4 linked regions of the Arabidopsis thaliana genome follow. The protein of the gene in region 3 purifies or fractionates together with the protein of the main gene of each other region. This does not show direct contact. Each region holds a gene or a part of one and is shown on either strand. Other genes may lie near its edges.

Region 1 (4,792 bases), 6.1 Mb from region 3:
TAGAGGAAATCAGTGTATTATTCCATTGAGATAAAGGGTTCTTTATATAGGAGTACAAGGAAAGGGTAAAACCCTAGAAACATCTCGATGATGGGCTTAGATAATGGGCCTTATAATGGGCATCCTCTTGATTCATAACAATATGTTGTTTCTTCTAGTTTTGGTCCCCGCTTCCTCACCATCTCTAGCTAGCATCATACATTTTCTTTATTTTATAATATATATTTTCGACATAGCATGTAGATTTTCTATTTATCTTTTTTAAAATTTACACCAATCATTGATAGTATATGTATTGTAAAATAAAAATAAAAATAAAAATATCTACAACGCATGGTCATATTCAAACTTAATTCTAATATTTACCCAAATGATTTTCTTTTCTAGCGGTTGAATTAACTTAGAAAAAGAACAATCTTCACTTAGAGATCCCAGTGACGATTTGGACGCTTAATTATTAGGGTTATCGACTCTTATTAAGGTTCTTCTAAAGAAAGAAAATGTAATACTTTGAAGATGAAGCAAGACAAACCGAAGAAGACAGCAGATATATATATATATATATATATACCGACCAAGATTCGTGTACGTAAAAGCACAACTGAGATATGAATTTGTTGGCATGCAAATAAATTACAGATGTTTGATGCTAAGACCAAATGAAATTAAAAAGGGATTTAGGGATTTTGTATCTGTGAGAGGAACAGTCCATTGAATCAGTGAGATAGGATACTTTAATTATACTGTCTTCTTCTGCTCAGCATGGTTCGAATCCCCATATCAATCATCCATTGTCTCTTTCACCTTTGTTTTCATAAATGGCAAAAACTTTGGTTGCAATTTGCGACAAAGGATGACGTATTCGGCGCCATTTAAAGTTGGAGTTTTAAAAGTAAAAACTATTACTATATCATGTGAAAATATAATTAGATTGTGAAGTATAATTTTTAGAATTCTGTCGTTTACCTCTTAGCATTGTTATTTGATTAGACTAAACTAATAATTCAATTAAATAACAAATCTAATTTTTTCATAGTCGAATTTCATTAGTTAATCGTTTAGTTGTTTCTCTCGTGGATCTTCACATCATCACATGTGCCAAGAAGTTAATATTAATATATAGTCATTTTCCGAGAAGAGTCTATTTGGGTTGTTTGAGTAAAGCGTGGATATCTTTTTCCAAAGACCTTTTGAGAACTTATCAACCACAATCCCTTATATATGGTTGAAGCTGTGATCACTTGTATTACAATTATATTAACAACTCAATCGGCATTAACACAATTGCTTTCGATTGGATCTATCAGAAATCGGCATTAACACAATTACATTATATATCACGCTAGGTCTGATCAGCTCCATGTCAATCTCGTTGTTTGTGTGCTCTCGGTTTAGTTATGTGACTAAGAAGATGAACCGACTTGGATAATTGATTGCCTGGTTGCAATATTTTCGAAAGTGATAGGATATCAACTGTTTCTTTTCAATCCATAACTTACATACTTAATGATATAACCACATATATATAGAATCGTGTGGCTGTCCCGAAACACGTGACCATACCATATCGTATTCGAATGCACCTACTTATCAACTATTTGAACTGATGTGGATTTAAGAATTGGTCATATATTATCCTCCATGCTTCATAGGGTAATATCCAGAGCGATGTTGCAACAGATCCTTACTTGATGCGTGGCCAATTGATGTTGCTTGTGTGAGTTGCCATAGATCCTAAAGCCAAGGAATACATTTTGGAATCCATAGAAGACATGAACAACATTAAGCAAAGCCTTCTGTAGATTTTTAATTCTTTTTCGTTGTTGAGGATAGTGATATGTACATTAATTAATTTGGTTCCGTATAATTTTTTAATTAATTAGCGTAACACTCCACCCGAAAAGGTCCAAAACCTTAAACAACACACGAAGCTCGTAGACAAGCTGACCAAAACCTTATTAGTTTTGTTTGCAAACCCCAAAAGAAAAAACATCTTTGGTGTAACAAAAATGGCTTCGTCTTCCAAAGCACTGATCGAATCCATAGGCTCTCTTGACAAAGACTCATACGTTTCTCTCTTATCAAAACTCATAGGCGAATCTAAATTCGTCCAGAACAATCCGCCGGAGCTCATCCCTCAAGAGGACCTAATCGTCAAACACGTCCTTGACTCTCTCCGTCCTTATAGCACAGAAACTGGTGGTGGTCCTCTGGTGATCAATCATGTCGCGTATCATTCAGGTAGAGGTAATCTCATCGTTGAGTACCCAGGATCTGTTCCCGGAAAGATCTTGTCTTTCGTCGGAATGCATATGGACGTCGTCACTGCGAATCCTGATGATTGGGTAATTTTGATTGATTCTAAATATGTGATTTTGATCGGTGCCCATTAGAATTAGCTTAAAATCTGATACTGGGTTCTGTTTAATTTCCGATGAACTGATCTGAATTGTTCCAAATTTCAAAGCTTTCTCTGTTTTGTGTACTCTAGGGTTTAATCGGTTACATTGAATTTTGGATTCTCTGGTTGACTTCGGTTTTTGTTCATAGGAATTTGATCCTTTCTCGCTAAGCATAGATGGTGATAAGCTTCGTGGTCGTGGGACAACAGATTGTCTTGGTCACGTTGCTCTTGTCACTGAACTCATGAAGAAACTCGGGCAAGCCAAACCGGCGTTGAAATCAACGGTGGTGGCGGTTTTCATCGCTAGCGAAGAGAACTCTTCCATTCCTGGTGTTGGTGTGGACATGCTGGTGAAAGACAAACTTCTTGATAAGCTCAAATCCGGACCCTTGTTAGTTTCCATTCTGTTAGAAATTTCTTGGGGAGTTTTTAGATGAAAATTGAAGGATGATTGAAGCTTATTGATGTGTATTCTTTTGAAGGTATTGGATTGATACAGCGGATAAGCAGCCGTGTGTTGGAACTGGGGGTATGATACCATGGAAGCTTCAGTTTACTGGAAAGCTTTTCCATAGCGGTTTAGCTCACAAGGTATTTTATATATGAATGGATTACTCTAGATGAAGTTGCAAACTTGGCATTGATCTTTTCTTCTGTTTGTACGAAGGCGATTAACGCGATGGAGTTAGCAATGGAAGGGCTTAAGGAAATCCAAGCTCGGTTCTACAGAGACTTTCCGCCTCACCCACAAGAGGAAGTTTATGGTTTTGCAACACCATCCACCATGAAGCCAACACAGTGGTGTTGTAAGTTTTGGAATCTATAGCATGTTGTGTGCCTAATGACTTTACATGTTGTCTACTTACAATAAATTGTTTGGTTTTGCAGATCCAGCAGGTGGAATCAACCAAATCCCCGGAGAATGTACTGTTTCGGGTGATGTCAGGTTGACTCCTTTCTATGAGTAAGTCTCTTCACACTTGTCTTACTCGTTTCTTCAATGCATTTAGACACACTTTAATGGCTTTTTGGTTGTTTTTGCAGCGTGAAGGAAGTGATAACGAAGTTGCAAGAGTATGTTGACGACATAAACGGTAACATAGAGAGGCTCGAAACCCGTGGTCCTGTTTCAAAATATGTCTTACCAGATGAGAATTTACGGGGAAGGTTTGGACTTTCTTCTTCTCCTGATTCTATTCTTTCTCTCATTTTATTGTCCCTACCGAAATCTTAAAAAGTCTTAATTGTCACTTGCAGGCTCACGTTAAGTTTTGATGAAGCATCAGCTGGAGTTGCGTGTAATCTTGATTCTCCCGGCTTTCACGTTCTATGCAAAGCAACCGAAGAAGTTGTTGGACACGTGAAGCCTTACTCGATCACCGGTACTTTACCTCTAATCCGAGACCTCCAGGTAAACCATTTGATAAACCGTACTTTAACTAGACTCAAGACTGATCTTTCAGAGTTCTCTACAACTTACTCTTTCTAAACCAATGAATCATGCTCTTGGTTTGTAGGATGAAGGTTTTGATGTGCAAACTTCAGGATACGGTATTACAAAACCCAACTCGGATTCTCTCCTTTGCTGAATTTCCTCATCTTTGATCCTTATCTATTTTAATTTTGTTGCAGGTCTCATGGCTACATATCATGCAAAGAACGAATACTGCCTTCTTACAGACATGTGCCAAGGCTTTGATGTCTTCATCAGGATCATTTCTCAACTTGAACAAGTATAAAATCAGATGGAAGATCATAAAATAAAAGCTTCACATAGCTACTCTCTTATTAACTAAATGGTTCTATACATTTACTTTGCTTCTATCTATTTGTACAAGTCAATGGTGGCTCAATACTTCAGACACTTTACAAAATTTAAAACAAAGGATAATGTTTTATACAGTTATTTATCTATCTTGAGTTGTTGTCACCTTCAGTTTCAAGTTTCTGAACACGTAGCCGGAGTCTTTGCTGATGATGGTGTAGTTTCCAGAGACCATTACCCAATACAACGGCTGAGTATATACCATGTGTGATGATAGGAGCAAGAAGATTGTTTGTCTGCAATATTTTCAGTTTGGTATCAACGATTTTACTACGACATGTCGAAAAAAGAAATGCGTGAACAGAAGAAGTAAAAACCTGAATCCATTCAAAGCCGAGGTATAGACCCAAAAGCCCTTCAAGAAGAGGAGAGTAGATTTTCTTCATCTGTCTTCGCTCATACCACGCTGCAAAAAGGAACATAGAATCCTTAGTGTGTGATAGTGAACATATCTAAATCCTTATGCTAAACTGAGTTTTACGAACCTGCAAACAACTTCTTCAGCTCGTCTCGGGCAGAGCGAGTTTTCAAGACCGGTGCCATTATATAAGTTGGATCTAAGA
Region 2 (4,668 bases), on a different chromosome or scaffold from region 3:
CATTAACCGATTGAACCAGCAGAAGATAGGGAAAATTGTTCATAGTTCTTGTGCAGTAACATTGTTATATCAATAATCCAAGAAAGGCCTATTTGATTTTTGTGTACTGGAGCAAGTTTGTTTCATGTATAAAAGATGAAATAGGTGAAAAAATTTTAAAGCCTTATGAATGATACAAACACAAAAGAGGAAAACTTGCGTTGTTGTCAAGCGAGAAGCCAGAAGTTTTTGTGGCGTTTGGTGGTGATTAAGTAACCGCCGAGCTTGCGGTTCTTGGGTTTAACCGCGATTGTCATGCAAGAGGCGTTTTCGAGGCAGTATTTGAGAACACCTTCGTGTCCACGGCGTCTCTTCCACGCCCATCTCTTCAATAGCCTCCAGACCGGAGGTTTCTTCTCTTGTCCAACCACTAAAAGGCTCACTTGTTGTTTCTTTGATTCTTCAACTATCTTCTGCCCTTTGTCTTTGTCTTTCCCCTCTAACCTCCTTATCTCCACTTCTATCTGACATTCATAAAAGAAATCCACACGTCGCCAGAATTTGATCAGAACAGTAATAGTGTAGCTTTCATTATATGTATAAACAATCGAATACCAAGTGTGACTCACCCCGGGTCGTTTCGTTTGGCACAGTTTCTTTAAAGTATGGACCAATTCATCGGTTTTCACCTCGCGTTTTCGGTTCTTCCTTTTACCTAAAACTCAATCCGAAAAACCTCATTAGCCAAACCAAACAAACCTTAAACAAGAAAATTGACAAAGAGGAGAGAAAGAGAAGAACTTTTTCTAAACGGTTTTGCAAAGTATAACAGAAAAAGAGTGTCTTGTGGTTGTAAAGTATGCGTAATAGCCCATTCTAAAGCTCCGGTAGAAGCAAGCGCTTTATCAACCACCACCATTACTCTATTCCCGCCTTCCGCCTCCTCCTCAACCGCCTCAACCGCTGCCACCGCCTCTTTTTTTCCTTCTCCGCCTCCAATGTTAAAGCTCTTGGCATCATCTTGTTCTTTTTCTTCTTCCTCCTCTACAATTACTTTGACTCTTTCTTCTTCCTTATCTTCAACCTCTTCACTTTCATTGTTTGCTTCTTTGGTGTCTTCTTCTCCGGATCCGGCATCATCACCATTTTCGCCTAGAAACTCGATTCTTTGGTCTCTCTCTATGGAACTCGAGTCCGGTTTGAACCTAATCGAAGGTGAATTGATCCGGACTCTTCTTAGACTCAACTTGGCTGATTTCTTGAGCGATCTCGCCATGTTTTTGTTTACAAAAAGAACTCAAATGGGAACCTTAGCATTGGTTCTTGAATGTTTTGAGCGTATGTATACGTGAGGAAATTTTTTGAGAGAGGACGTGCGTGCCATTAAAGATGTTTGATTGTTAATGGTTCCACACGTTGTTGTTTTTTTCTTTTTGTCAAGCTCTTCTGTTTTCTTCATTAAATTAAACGAGTCCAAGTTTATTTGATAAATTGTTAGCTCAATCGATTGTGGAATTCACTACCGTTGGAGAAAAAAAAATTTATTTTGTAGACTCGCAAAATCATGAGAAATCTTTGAGTGGTGCTCTAGTTTTGTCGTGGTCAAAATCATCCACTTTGTGTAAAAGAACAAATCCAAATTTGATTTGTTTTCTTTGCTAACTACAAAACAATTCTAGTGGCAGCCCTCAAGGGTTATACAAGGTCACTTGTTCCAAACCATGAACTCATAAATTTATCATTTTATCACATCCAAATCCAAATTATTGAGAAGATTAGGTAAGTAGGAGTCGCTAGTGACCAAAACCAAAGATATATTTTATTGAATCACTAAATCACAATACCTTTGTAAATTAAGTTATCTGTCATACTACTTTGTTATTGAATAATGTAAGTTGCCAAAAATAAAGAAATTCATGTATAGTTTGGTCGTATAATCAATTTGTTGAGAATTTTACTATTTGCTACGTAGATAACTTTTAAATTAGCAAAACACACATAATTACGTGTACAAGTTTGTAGATAAAATTTTCAGAGAACACACAAAATGCAAATAAAGAAGTCAATAATAGGCTAATAGTAGCATTAATGCAAAACACGTAATCACAGTAAGAGTAAAACACAAATACAAAAGGCTATATAAAGAAACTAAAGCAAGTAGAAGAAACTGAAACTTTGAGCAAATCCAAGAGAACATGGCGGATAAATCAGAAACCACTCCACCGTCAATTGATGGCAACGTTCTCGTGGCCAAGTCACTCTCTCATCTCGGCGTAACCCACATGTTCGGCGTCGTTGGAATCCCCGTCACGTCTCTAGCTAGCCGAGCTATGGCTTTAGGTATACGTTTCATCGCCTTCCACAACGAACAATCCGCTGGTTACGCCGCTTCAGCTTACGGTTACCTCACGGGTAAACCGGGTATCCTTTTAACGGTTTCGGGTCCGGGTTGTGTTCATGGGCTCGCGGGTCTTTCCAACGCTTGGGTTAATACATGGCCGATGGTGATGATCTCTGGTTCTTGTGATCAGAGAGATGTTGGTCGTGGAGATTTCCAGGAGCTTGATCAGATCGAAGCGGTTAAAGCTTTCTCGAAATTATCAGAGAAAGCGAAAGATGTTCGTGAAATCCCTGATTGTGTTTCTAGGGTTTTGGATCGAGCTGTTTCGGGTCGACCCGGTGGGTGTTATCTGGATATTCCGACTGATGTGTTGCGTCAGAAGATATCGGAATCGGAAGCTGATAAATTGGTGGATGAGGTTGAGAGATCACGGAAGGAAGAACCGATTCGTGGATCTCTGAGATCGGAGATTGAATCGGCGGTTTCGTTGCTGAGGAAAGCTGAGAGGCCGTTGATTGTGTTTGGTAAAGGAGCTGCGTATTCGAGAGCAGAAGATGAGCTGAAGAAGCTTGTTGAAATTACTGGAATACCCTTTTTACCAACTCCGATGGGTAAAGGTTTGTTACCGGACACACACGAGTTCTCGGCGACTGCGGCGAGGTCTCTTGCTATTGGGAAATGTGATGTCGCGTTGGTGGTTGGAGCTAGGCTTAACTGGCTTCTTCATTTCGGAGAGTCGCCTAAATGGGATAAAGATGTAAAATTTATATTGGTGGATGTCTCTGAGGAAGAGATTGAGCTAAGGAAACCTCATTTGGGGATTGTTGGAGATGCTAAAACTGTGATTGGATTGTTGAATAGAGAGATCAAAGACGATCCTTTTTGTTTAGGGAAGTCTAATTCATGGGTGGAATCGATTTCGAAGAAGGCGAAAGAGAATGGTGAGAAGATGGAGATACAGCTTGCTAAAGATGTGGTTCCTTTCAATTTCTTGACTCCTATGAGGATAATCAGAGACGCTATTTTGGCTGTGGAAGGACCGAGTCCTGTTGTGGTATCGGAAGGAGCTAATACAATGGATGTAGGAAGATCTGTTTTGGTTCAGAAAGAGCCAAGGACAAGGCTTGATGCAGGAACTTGGGGAACTATGGGTGTTGGTTTAGGTTATTGTATTGCTGCTGCTGTTGCTTCTCCTGATCGGCTTGTTGTCGCTGTTGAAGGAGACTCTGGTTTTGGCTTCAGCGCCATGGAAGTCGAGGTAGTAAAAAGATTTACATACTTATTAGCATAATGTGGAAATTGTCTTTTGTCTGAACTTTTGTCTTTAATGATGATTGCAGACATTGGTTCGATACAATCTTGCTGTGGTGATTATAGTCTTCAACAATGGTGGTGTCTACGGCGGTGATCGAAGGGGACCTGAAGAAATCTCCGGTCCTCATAAAGAAGATCCAGCACCAACATCATTTGTTCCTAATGCAGGCTACCACAAGCTCATTGAAGCCTTTGGAGGCAAAGGTTATATTGTGGAAACACCCGATGAGCTTAAATCCGCTCTCGCTGAGTCGTTCGCCGCAAGAAAACCCGCGGTGGTAAATGTTATTATTGATCCTTTTGCTGGTGCTGAGAGTGGGAGATTACAGCACAAGAACTAAAAAGCTTTGTGGAGAGTCCCTTTAAATAATGTTGAAGTTGTTTGTTGTGAACAAAAAGGATATACGTTTTAGTTTTCTGTTTTTCACTATTGTAAACCGGATCATAAACCGGTCCATTTTAAACCATAATTGAATAAAAACACGTTTCCGGTTCAATTCTTAAAACCTAAAGCTATTTATATGGCGCATGTTAGCCTTTAATGGTGTCTGATGAGAAAGAACACAGAGAACAGAGTCGACTCCAAGTCCGACACAACATGAAACCAGGTCTGAATCTTCTTCCTCGACGGATTCTTCTATTTTCGATTGCGTATCCGAGATTTTGATGTGGGAATTTGGTTTATCTTTGATTTTTTTTTTTTTCAGAACTTCCTGGGTTTTATTACGACGAGGAGAAGAACAGATATTTTCCCATTAAAGGTCCTATCCCTGGTGCAAAGTCTTCTTCTTCTTCAAGAACGAAACAAAAACCCGAGCCAAAGCCTGAACAGGTCAGTTTACTACAAATTCAACTTTTTCAAGTTTATGTAGTAAAGGTCGAGTCTTGCAGAATCAATGAGAATTCTCCAATCTTCTCTAGCTTGAACTTGTTTATGTAAATCAGTGATTAGTTATATGGAAATTGCATCAGGAAACTAATTATCAGAAGAGGACTAAACTAAAAGCATTGAAGCTAGTTTATTCCCGAGAGTT
Region 3 (7,138 bases):
GTATATGTTCGTTCGTTCACTAATTAAACAAGTACAAAAAAACTGTGACACAAGAAACTGTGTTTAATCGATCCGAAAAATGTTTGCATTATAAATTTGGATCATATCTCGATTTAAGCGTGTCATCCTTGCGCAGGGCACATGCTAATCTTCTCTGTATCGTTCCAATTTTATCGGATGTCCACGAAGGGACAATCATCTTAGCAACTCTAACTATATATATGTTCTTCCTCTTTCTACTGTATAACCGATGTGGGACTTATCTTATCGCTTCAGCTATAATGGGCCTTCCTTTCTACTTAGTTATGGCCCATTATAATATAGTATCTCACCGTATAAAAAAATCACTAGCGTTTTCCCCACTAAACCCATTTAAATGGAAAATTGACTGACCACAACAAAAAAAGGAAAGTCTGTTCATGGATTCTACTTCTTCTTCGTTATCTCGAAACTGGAGATTCCACGCCTTCCCGAGCTTTTGCGGAGAAGATCTTCGTAAAACCTTTCTAAGCTATTTCCTCAAGGAGTTGCAAAGGAAATGAATTCTTTTAAATAAGTCACTGTATCAGATTGTGTGTATTTTTAATTACTCACGAATAGTTATCAACTACAGTTAAGTTCTAGACTTTTATGATCCACTATACAATGAAGGTATCCCACGTTAGTAGTCCACGAGTCGGAGTCGGAACGGACCTCGAAAGGCAAACTTTATTGATGGCAAATCCAAAAGTTCGAAAAGTGCTTTTAAAATTCGGTGTTGAGAAGAAGAAACAACAGATGTTTTTGGCTTATAGAAAACATGAGCATCACGAGTCACAGATGATTAGTTAATTCTCGAGTAGCGGAGTTCTTTTAGTTTGAAGAGAGCTGAGCAACGAGCTGCGTGAGATTATCTTCCTTCTTGATACTCTCCACCCAATTGGCATTGATATGTACCCTTTCAATGCTCTGCTTCAAGGTTCTTGCCATCGAAGGCTTTGATCTTGTTGCAAAAAACTCCTCCACTTCTTTGGCTTTCTCAAACGACGCAAACTGAGACAATCAACATAAAGTGTAATCAATGGGAAAGGCCAGCGAGAGGATCAATAGCTATTTTATGGATATGCATAAAGGGGAGGAGGAACAAACCGGCGATACAACTGCACTTATGAAGCGTGTTATGAGAAATCCGGAGCCCCATGTGTTTCCTATATACTCCCACTTTTCCTGTAGCCATTTCCAAGCTACTTCACGTCCTTCCCAACTTACACCGGAAAGTCCATAAAGTGCATCTTGATTACGGACCTGGAAGAATAAGAACCTCACATCACATCAATTTTTTCAAGCGCAATGATATTGATTATTTACTAACTCTACAGAGTGGAAAGCAAAATCCATATAATCTACCTCATCAGACAATACGAAGTTAAGAACATCTTGAACTATAGTGGGGTCTGGGCAAGATGCTAAAGAACCTGCAAAGTCACAAAGGAAACATTACTACTTGAACCACAAATTTTTATTTATTTTATTTTTCAGGTACGAGACCAAAGTTTGCAGTCAAGTTACCTAAGATTCGTGTTTTCTCTTGGCTCAGGTCGGTTTCCCTATAAACTCTCAGAAGAGACTCATAACCAGATTTGTCTGATTTGTTAGCTCTCTGCATTACAGCAACATAAGCAGCCTGCAAACACAAAACCCATACAGAAATTAATAAAAAGGTTCACCATTCCAGTTTCAAAGTGTTATCGGGTTCTATGAAAAGAAACAAACCCTTCTAATGTCAGGAGGCAGAAGCGGAGTGTTCCTATCAGCCAAAAATGCATCAAATCTTCGAACTGCTTCCTTTAGTGTCTCATCATGCCCAAACACAGCAAGTGCAGTTAAGACTTCCCCTCTCAGCATAGCATCTAGATGGCTCTCGCCTTGCTTAGGATCCCAACCAAGTTTCCTGTAAGAACAATCAGCATTGTAACGACATTGTTTTTTTTTTGTTTAGTAAAACAGAACATTAGTCTAAATTCTGGAGATGCGTAAAACAGCTTACCCAGCAGCAAACTGGAAAACGCCAATGAAGAAATGTTTAATCCCAGACATCAGTTCTTGATTTGCATCTGCTCCAATCTTCACAACTTTGTAGCTTATCTGTATGGAAGAAGAGTAAGAGCCAGAAGCAAAAGCAAACTTATGGACCAGGGAATTTAAAGACAGAAAGGGGAGATCCTTACAGCAATAAGATTTGACAGCACAGTATAGTCAAGTTCCTTCTTGTAAGCACTACACAAAGTGAGCAATGAGGCCAGTGATTGCTGACGAGCCATAGTAAGTGCAAACGAATCATCCAAAATACCTGTGAAATACAAAGTAGGATATCTATCTCCAAAGAAATTTCATTCTGTCAACCAGAAAACAAAATTCTGCAAGGTTGAATTACCATATCTATCGATAGAAGTCAAGCTTTGGCTCTCTGTTGCATTTCTGAGTCCAGCCGCAAGGCTGTCATCATATTTCACCCTATAGAATCCAGCCTGATCAACATTGATTTTTATCCAAGAACATGTCCCATTAATTTTGTCGCTACCATCGGCAATGGAGCAGCCCAATAATTCCTTTAAATCATACGCTCCAGATTTGGATTCTAATAAGAAGTTTTTGCGCTTTTCATATGAACCACAACACAAGGTCACTGGTACAATCCATTGTCCTTCCCCAGGAGAACCACTTGACAAGAATCGAGACTGAAAATTTCAAATGAATTTCGTTACTTAATCATGCACAATATCCCAAAGTGGTATAAACAGAACATCCAGAAAGGGAAATAAGTCTAAGTACCTGCTCGAGTTCCAATTTTCCATCTTTTATTTTGGCTGAGACGACAGGATATCCTTTTTGCTTTGTCCAAGAACTCATAAGCTTGTTCACAGGTTCTCCGGATCCCGCTTCCAAAGCAGCCCATAAATCTTCTGTCTTCGCGTTTGAATAAGCGTGATTTTTAATGTATGCAGCAAGAGACTTCTGCTCACCAAAAGCCAAACAAGTAGGGTAAGATGTTTTGGAGACATTAGTGAAACTGGAACTAGAAGCCACCATATTTACATGCATAATATAAACGCTGCAATTCTTTTGTAACTGAAGAAATGGGCATGAGAGCGAACCTGAAAAACCTCAGCACCAAGATAGCTTTGTAGCATGCGGATGACAGATGCACCCTTTCTGTAGCTTATTGCATCAAATATTTCATCAATTTCAGCAGCATGATTAACCTCCACCTGGGGAAATTTATGGACTTATGACAAATAGGCAATAGGGTATCTCTGGGATCGATAGTGAAATTAAGGAAAACCGACATTATTCTGTGAAGACATATTGACAGCATTTTGGTTACCTCTATCGGGTGAGACTCCTCAAGCCCATCTAGCCTTAGACCCTCAGTAGATTCATCTAAAAACTGGGTCCAGATTTTCCATTCAGGGAACAAACTATCAGTAGCCAAGTAGCTGACCTGAAACAGATAAAGAGTAACAATATATTCACAACAAAACTCAAAATCATTGTTAATACTAAGACCTAAGTTTGCAATGTACCCAAGTAGCAAAACCCTCATTCAGCCATAGATGAGTCCACCACTCCATAGTAACAAGATTGCCAAACCACTGGTGGGCCAGTTCATGAGCAACTACAGTGGCAACCTAGCAGCAGAAATTTAACTGCTTTAGATAATTGCACAAGAGAGCACAAGACAATTTCCTCTAGAGAATAAATGGACATGTTTACAGTACCCTCTGTTTGTTAGAAGCAGCTGAATGTTGTTCATCATAGAGAAGAGCTGTTTCACGGTATGTAACTAAACCATAATTCTCCATAGCTCCGGCAGCAAAATCTGGTATTGCAATCATATCCATTTTGGGAAGGGGATATGGCACAGCAAAGTACCTACAAGAATGATTGGACTTATGCAATGAGATGATACATCCATTAAAGAAGCTCAGAAATATGCATGCACATAAAGTTTCAAATGTCAACGAAGGACCTACTCTTTGAACAGATCCAATGTCTTGGCACCAACATGCAATGCAAATTTCCCTTGGTCGGCTTTGCCCACTTGACAGTATACTCTGACTTTAATCCCTGAGAAAAAGATGAAACTTGATTTAGAGCTTCTCGACTTGACTAGACGGGAGATAATAATGGATAAAATTAATTTACCATCGGATGTATGATCTTCCACGTAGTCAAACAAACCAACAACAATTGCTACCAAATATGTAGACATGATTGGTGACTCTTGATAGGAGACAATCTTCAGATTCCCATTGACTTTCTCCTCCATTATTGGCATATTGGAGAGAGCCACCAAATCAGTTGGCACCTCTAATGTAATCTTGAAGGTAGCCTGTTGAACAATGTGTCAATATTGATAGATAAAGACAGAAGAAGAACAAAATCACCAACTTGATAAACTCATGCTGATAGAAAGAGGAGGGAATGAGAAAGAACAAGTGGAAACCTTGCAAGCAGGTTCATCCCAACATGGAAAGCATCTCCTAGCATCAGCTGGTTCAAACTGGGTAACTGCCATATTCTTCTTCTCACCGTTATGTTCATAAGTACTGCCACCAAGACAAATACAAGATCGTTCTAGAATTAATCTCGAGCTATCTAACAGTAAAAAAAGATCGAAACTCATTGCTTTACCTTCTGTAGAATCCCTTCATTTTGTCATTTAGTACTCCATTGAAACCAAGTTTCAGAACTCCCACTCCATGGGGAAGAATCTCACCAAACTCAAGCACGAGAATCTCATCCTCCTCAAACAAGACAACTTTTGGAGCTGCAAGCGCCTGCTTAACAAAACATAAGAAGCAACAACAAGCTAAATCTTTGCTGATTCCAGATTCAATTCCAATCCATGACAGTTTTCTAAAGTTGAGGATTGGTTTTTCAGTCGAACAGAAAAGTCTGGCTGAAACGTGATTGTATCTCTCTAGTTAATTTACCATTGGAATCAAAAATCATAGATGATGATATCCAAATACTCAGATCAAGAAGCTAATCATGAAAATGAATATCTCCAAGGCGCTAATTAGCTCAAAACCATAACTCCAATCACATTGCTAAAATCGGAATCCATAACAGCAAAAAAGAAACGCGATAGAGAGACCTTAGAGGAGGAAGGAGGAGTGAAGGAAACGGAGGCATCGTTGACGGAGAGATCAGCTGCGTTGAGAACGATGAAACGAGTATCGGCGACTATGTCGAGATCGATGGCTACAGTTCCAGTGAAGGTGCAGGCGATGAGATCGGGATTGAGGCGGAGATCGTAGCGCTTGGGGACGGCGAACTTGGGTAGACGAGGCTCACCTTTGAACTGATCCATTTTCTATTACTTGCAGATATGATTTTTTTTTGTTTTCTCTTGTTGGAGTTTTGTCTTTTATAATACGAGGGTTGTAAGCAATTGTTTTATGTTACGCCACGCGAGTGATTCGTTTCTAGTAGAGGACGCAACGTTAATAACATTTACAAAACATTCAATAATATCACTATCAAATTCAATGACGTTGGATTATCCATTAGCATCTCCAAGCTAGGCCGAATATGACAAAATGTGTTTTGACCAGTGAAGAAATGTTTAATCAGATTACACTTGTTCATAAGAAGATTCAATGTCACTACTACTCGTCAACTCAAAGTCCCGCGGATCTAGTTTGAACAACACACATTTAATCGTTCTATATCCTCAATCATCTCCTTGATCAGATTCCCAACATCCCCTGAGTCCCATGTTGTACTGATGACCAGGGTGATCTTCTTGGCTCGGCGTGTCCGTTTCTCGAGGAGCATCCGCCATGTTCCACGTAGCTTCATCAGGTTGTAGCCTCTGTCCCTTGGAGCTCGGCCATTATACTTAACAGTGAGATGAAGATGATCTTTATTCCCTTATTTATATCATCATAATAAGACTTTAAAATTTTGAATTGTATAGTTTCTCTTTTTTAATGTTAATTTCCTCTCTTTCTTTTTTTGGTCAACGAGACTAATTTAGTTTTCTTTCTTGCCTAGGGTTTTCGTCTTCTGAAACGACGTCGTTAGGATCTTTCCAATCGAGTTCTTCCCAAGCTTCGTCGTCGTCGTCGTCTAGGTCGGGTGTTTAAATTTACGGTTTCTGAGTTAGACGAGAGACTCTCAATCTCGGAGAATCTGAGGTTTTACGGGATATCCCGTTTTAATCAAATTCAGGGTAAATTTCAATTCTTTTTCCTTCTGAGATCTGATTTTTTTTCTTTTTTTTTTGGGTATTGAAATTCTATTATCCTTGAAAAGCTTCATACTTCTTAAAACTTTGCATTGTCTGAGTTTCATTTTTGATACAATCTCTCTATTTGATTCTTTCTGCAACTTTGGTTATGTTCATTTATATTTTTAGAGTATCAAAAATGAATCTTTTAGTTGTCTTTTGGTCATCTTGGATTATATTTCTCTGTTTGTGATGAATTCTGAAGCTTGTTGTTGTGTTAGATTCTTATTGTCTCACTGTTTACATTTTTATCCTTTTCTTAAGAGTGATGATATAGGTTTTTTTTTTTTCTGAATTATAGATAGATGGATTTTCAGAGTTGCTAAGGTGGGACAGAGTATTAGTGGTGATTGCAACGACAATGGGCTTATTGAAGAAAAAAGATTCAACTTCAGCTCGCTCCTCTACTTCTCCCTGCGCCGATTTGCGAAACGCTTACCACAATTGCTTCAACAAGTGAGTTTCGTTTGTTTCTCCTTTTGATGGATTTAGCTAGTTGCTGGGTTTAAGGGTTTAGCTTTGGTTAGCCAAATGGGTATTTTTTTCAGGGATTTCATTTCTGGTCTTTTGAAAGGTTTGGACCATTTGGATGGCATTGTCTTATTCCTTTTTCCTTTCTAATTCTTCCCTTTGGTTGGTGTATTTATCTGTCTGTCCAAAACGCTAAAAATTGCATCTTTTTTTCTTGATTTTTTTCTGCAGATGGTACTCGGAGAAGTTTGTTAAAGGCCAATGGGATAAAGAAGAGTGTGTTGCCGAGTGGAAAAAATACAGAGACTGTCTCTCGGTAACTCACTCTGCTTCTCTGCTTCATCAGCTCTATTCATGTTTCCTGTGATCTTTAATCAAATGATAAGCTTC
Region 4 (4,108 bases), on a different chromosome or scaffold from region 3:
GGTTGTCTTCAGTTCACTGTCCTGTCTGATTGAAAATGTGGAACTTATAGAGAATCTGTGTTAAATTATAGAGCCATCATTGTTTTTGATGCAGCGAGCATGTGATGAGTGAGAAAGGATACTCTTCGTTACTATCGTTCACTGTAGCAGACATTAATACAACAATCTCTAAACTTATGGAATTAGGAGCTGAACTCGATGGCTCTATCAAATATGAAGTCCATGGCAAGGTAAAAACGCAACCACTTCCTGCAAATGCTTTAATCTCATTGTCTAACATTTCTTTTGATAAGAATTCAAATCTTTCTTTTTCTTGATAACCAGGTTGCTTCTGTGAGATGTCTTGATGGTCATGTGCTCGGACTCTATGAACCTTCATGAGTTTTCTATTCAGTTCGGATTATGTGGATTTGATTTTGTTTTTTTCGATCCGATTTTGGTTGAATAATGTTTCAAAATTTTGCTAATCGGATGTTTGGTAAGGACTTAGCTCTAAGACAAATGTAAATCTAATATATCCGGCGCAGAAAAGTCGTTAATTGATTGTTCAACTAATCGTCTAGACATTCGATCTATTAAAGACAGGGGAGATATGTTTTACAAATTTAAAAGCAAAGATGTTCAGAAACAAAAACAAAAATCAAGGTGCTGCTGCATTTCTTATTCTGAAATCTGAACAAAATACTCGTGTTAAACAATGTGGTTTGAAATCCCATTTCCAATTGCTCAAAAATAAGCAAGACAAATAGGGCTTTTACAAAAACAGAAAGGGATTTTTCAATGGTTCTTCCTGGCAAGCTTAGTCCATTCAGTATGGTACGCACCAGGACGATCGGTTCTCTCATAAGTGTGAGCTCCAAAGAGATCTCTCTGCGCCTGAACCAGATTCGCCGGCAATCTAGCACGTCTATAAGTATCGAAATACGCAAGACTAGCACACATTCCAGGCGTGCTAATCCCAGCAGAAACAGCCAAACCAACAACTCTTCTCCAAGCAGCTTGTCTCTGAACCATCTCTTTAGCAAACTCAGGATCAACCACAAGACTAGCCAAGTCCGGGTTCCTCTGGTAAGCTTTCTTGATCCTATCCAAGAAAACCGCTCTTATAATACAACCACCTTTCCAAATCCTAGCCAATTCACCAAAATTCAAGTTCCAACTCTTCTCTAAACTCTTAGCTCTAAGCAAATTCATCCCTTGAGCATAACTACAAATCTTGGAAGCATACAAAGCTTGCCTAACATCATCAACCAATCTCTTCTTATCGATTCCACTCGACGCAGAACCAATCTCTTCTTTCAATCCAGCTTCCCTCAACACTTTCGCTGCATTCTCCCTCTCATCTTTCAACCCACTCAAATACCTACAATCCAACGAAGCAGCAATCGTCGGAGCTGCAACAGACAGCTCCGCCGCTTGCTGCACCGTCCATTTCCCAGTACCTTTCATACCAGTCTTATCCAAAATCTTATCAACTAACTCTCCATCACCAAACTCATCCTTAACCCTAAATATATCAGAAGTTATCTCAACCAAGAAACTCTCAAGCTCACCTGAATTCCACTCAGTGAAAATCTCAGCAAGCTCCTCGTTGCTTAATCCACCAACGTTCTTCAACACATCATAAGCTTCAGAGATCAATTGCATATCTCCATACTCAATCCCATTATGAACCATCTTCACGAAATTTCCAGATCCACCTTCTCCGATGTAAGTAACACAAGGTCCATCTTCAACTTGAGCTGCGACTTTCTCCAAAATATCTTTGATGTTATCATAAGCTTGAAATGATCCACCAGGCATTAACGAAGGACCGTTACGAGCTCCTTCTTCGCCGCCGGAGACTCCCATACCTAAATAGAGCAATCCTTTTTGCTCAGCTTCGGAGATCCGTCGCTCTGTGTTCTGATACCATTCGTTTCCACCGTCGATGATGCAATCTCCTGGCTCCATGTATTCGGAGAAGGCGTCGATTGTTTGGTCAACGGGAGCTCCAGCTTTGACGAGGATGATGAGAGATCTAGGCCGTTGGATCGAGAGGACGAAATCGCGGGGAGAGTATTGGCCGGAGACTGGGAGGTTTCCTTCGACGGCGGCTCGATCTAGGGTTTCGTCGACTTTGGAAGTGGTTCGATTGTAGACTGAGATTGGGAAACCTTTCTCGGCGATGTTTAAGGCGAGGTTTTGGCCCATCACGGCGAGTCCGGCGAGACCGATTCGGGATAGTGCGGCGGACTCCATTGGAGATAGAGAGATGAGCTTAGGATTGGTTAGGTAGAGAGAGAAAAATGAGGTAGTGGGAGTGATGAGAGAGAGTGGGTGGAGATATTTATACTGTGAAAATGACGGACTCGTCGATGGAGCCAAGGGACAAACGAAAACGATGATCTCTATGTTTTTCAAAACGGTGTCGTCTCGTCTAGAACTCCATGTTAACAAACGTTGCCGTTTTTGTTTCAAATATGATTCTAATGTTTTTGTTAAATTAAAAATGTTTACAAATCACACTCTAACATAAAAATTTAATCATAGCTTAAGGATTTGCTTGTCGTTATATGCAAATGACTTACGAAAATTCATACAATAACATTCGTTTAATTTTTTTAATATCCAACTAGTGGGCTGTTTGATTTATTAATCTCTAATGATGTTTCATATCTAATATATATTTTGGTTGTAACAACATTTTTTAATACGATCAATATGGTAGTGTCCATGTCGAACTTGGACTCTCTACCTCTTCTTTTTAGTCTCTATAAAAGTTTTTCAATTATTTTACATCAACTTGATACATTAGCCTTTTGACGATGTTGAATGGTCGGACAACTTTCCATCTACGATCTCACCATTCTACTGGATAACCAAGTATCTTTCTTATATGATGATAGGAGACTAAGTGGATCAATTAAACAAGACAGAGTTTATCAATGAGATGGTGTTTATCCTTCATAACACTCGCACATGTAATTACCCTTGTGGCCTTGACAAGAACCACCCATAAAACCTTGTGTCTTACAGGAACTGTAACACATACTTTTCTTCTCCACACCGTTAGGATCTGGGCATCGTCTTCCCGTTGGATTCATACTTTTTGCATCTCTTAACTCTATAATTTTAATAAGAAAAAAAGTTAAGGGGTTCATTTACTAAACCAAGAAAATTAGAAACAATGATTTCTATGAACTATTGTCTATTTGATGTGTAATGTAATGATGAACAATAGAGAGCACATATATAGGCAAAGAACAAAGGAGAAGGAGATTTTGTTAGACGCCATTTTCTTTATTGAAGTTCTTTTTTGTTCCTTCAAACAAATAACACTATAACAGTGTGTGAATTTAGCCAAGAAGGAGGAGACTTTGAACCCATCTAAATAAATAGGCAATTAGGCATATACAGCTAAAAATAAATATGGCTATGTATATCTAAAAAAAAGTATGTGAATTTGACGAAGAAGGATGAGACTTTGACCATCCTGTGACGCTTTCTTTCTTGTAATCAACCATGTGTCACGAAGGAGAAGTTCTAAATCTTAGGTAACAAAAAGTGTGACAAAGTTAGGATAAAAAGTTGACAAGATGATGAGCAACTTACTCTTATCATTATCAATACACCACCAAACCAAACAAATATTTATATCAATTAACAACAAAAGACCAATGCCCATCAACAAATTACACATAATTTAGAAAAAATGGTGACAATAGAAAGAAATGGATAAATGGAGCCACAAACTTTCCTTGGTTATAAAGTTGGAGTCACTCATCAAGCTGCACCAACCTTGCCGAAGAGCGACTTTCGGATCTACACACATTTCAAGAAAAGATCCTTTAGAACAAAACTAAAAATACTTAGGACAAGACAAATGAGGTTTCAAGAGTTTTGAAACCAATAAGAAGGTATAAGCTTAGGAACATGGTACTACAAATTTAAGAGAGCAAATGGGGATTTTAATTTAACCTCTGGAAGTTTATTGCGGAAGGCAACCTCCAACCTCGCATCAAGCGTGTTTTCACACACGATTTTCCCATCACGAGAAGCCAAAACCACTCCTCCTGCACTGTTATATATCCACAAGTGCCATATTGGTATTAGAGTTTTTGATTCT

Evidence for each region.
Region 1: the proteins of APM1 (region 3) and AT4G17830 fractionate together in Arabidopsis thaliana (co-fractionation; one large-scale study listed by BioGRID). This does not show direct contact.
Region 2: the proteins of APM1 (region 3) and AT5G17380 fractionate together in Arabidopsis thaliana (co-fractionation; one large-scale study listed by BioGRID). This does not show direct contact.
Region 4: the proteins of APM1 (region 3) and AT1G64190 fractionate together in Arabidopsis thaliana (co-fractionation; one large-scale study listed by BioGRID). This does not show direct contact.

What each region holds. Positions count from the first base shown.
Region 1 is NC_003075.7:9,913,907-9,918,698, forward strand, and holds AT4G17830 (Peptidase M20/M25/M40 family protein), read left to right. Parts: upstream 1-1,906; 5' UTR 1,907-2,009; coding exon 2,010-2,345; intron 2,346-2,550; coding exon 2,551-2,810; intron 2,811-2,886; coding exon 2,887-2,995; intron 2,996-3,071; coding exon 3,072-3,210; intron 3,211-3,292; coding exon 3,293-3,368; intron 3,369-3,448; coding exon 3,449-3,571; intron 3,572-3,661; coding exon 3,662-3,815; intron 3,816-3,921; coding exon 3,922-3,955; intron 3,956-4,036; coding exon 4,037-4,143; 3' UTR 4,144-4,281; downstream 4,282-4,792. Other genes in the region: AT4G17840 (CAAX protease self-immunity protein), read right to left, coding at 4,316-4,465, 4,547-4,635, 4,715-4,786.
Region 2 is NC_003076.8:5,724,227-5,728,894, reverse strand, and holds AT5G17380 (Thiamine pyrophosphate dependent pyruvate decarboxylase family protein), read left to right. Parts: upstream 1-1,982; 5' UTR 1,983-2,174; coding exon 2,175-3,578; intron 3,579-3,660; coding exon 3,661-3,975; 3' UTR 3,976-4,136; downstream 4,137-4,668. Other genes in the region: AT5G17390 (Adenine nucleotide alpha hydrolases-like superfamily protein), read right to left, coding at 207-503, 609-694, 781-1,255; AT5G17370 (Transducin/WD40 repeat-like superfamily protein), read left to right, coding at 4,176-4,242, 4,342-4,466, 4,607-4,668. UniProt on the Arabidopsis thaliana protein: Catalyzes a carbon-carbon cleavage reaction; cleaves a 2-hydroxy-3-methylacyl-CoA into formyl-CoA and a 2-methyl-branched fatty aldehyde.
Region 3 is NC_003075.7:15,965,063-15,972,200, forward strand, and holds APM1 (aminopeptidase M1), read right to left. Parts: upstream 5,496-7,138; 5' UTR 5,357-5,495; coding exon 5,141-5,356; intron 4,821-5,140; coding exon 4,675-4,820; intron 4,590-4,674; coding exon 4,487-4,589; intron 4,373-4,486; coding exon 4,186-4,372; intron 4,108-4,185; coding exon 4,014-4,107; intron 3,913-4,013; coding exon 3,759-3,912; intron 3,669-3,758; coding exon 3,564-3,668; intron 3,482-3,563; coding exon 3,365-3,481; intron 3,249-3,364; coding exon 3,135-3,248; intron 2,995-3,134; coding exon 2,812-2,994; intron 2,718-2,811; coding exon 2,414-2,717; intron 2,330-2,413; coding exon 2,208-2,329; intron 2,125-2,207; coding exon 2,027-2,124; intron 1,931-2,026; coding exon 1,753-1,930; intron 1,664-1,752; coding exon 1,549-1,663; intron 1,455-1,548; coding exon 1,387-1,454; intron 1,285-1,386; coding exon 1,129-1,284; intron 1,033-1,128; coding exon 853-1,032; 3' UTR 531-852; downstream 1-530. Other genes in the region: AT4G33100 (protein phosphatase), read left to right, coding at 6,639-6,733, 6,980-7,064. UniProt on the Arabidopsis thaliana protein: Metallopeptidase that binds to the auxin transport inhibitor N-1-naphthylphthalamic acid (NPA). Required for embryonic and seedling development as well as cell cycle progression. Homodimerization is required to proper localization and activity.
Region 4 is NC_003070.9:23,824,772-23,828,879, forward strand, and holds AT1G64190 (6-phosphogluconate dehydrogenase family protein), read right to left. Parts: upstream 2,366-4,108; 5' UTR 2,242-2,365; coding exon 778-2,241; 3' UTR 557-777; downstream 1-556. Other genes in the region: AT1G64185 (Lactoylglutathione lyase / glyoxalase I family protein), read left to right, coding at 95-230, 325-381; AT1G64195 (Defensin-like (DEFL) family protein), read right to left, coding at 2,940-3,099, 3,219-3,277; VHA-E3 (vacuolar H+-ATPase subunit E), read right to left, coding at 3,922-4,060. UniProt on the Arabidopsis thaliana protein: Catalyzes the oxidative decarboxylation of 6-phosphogluconate to ribulose 5-phosphate and CO(2), with concomitant reduction of NADP to NADPH.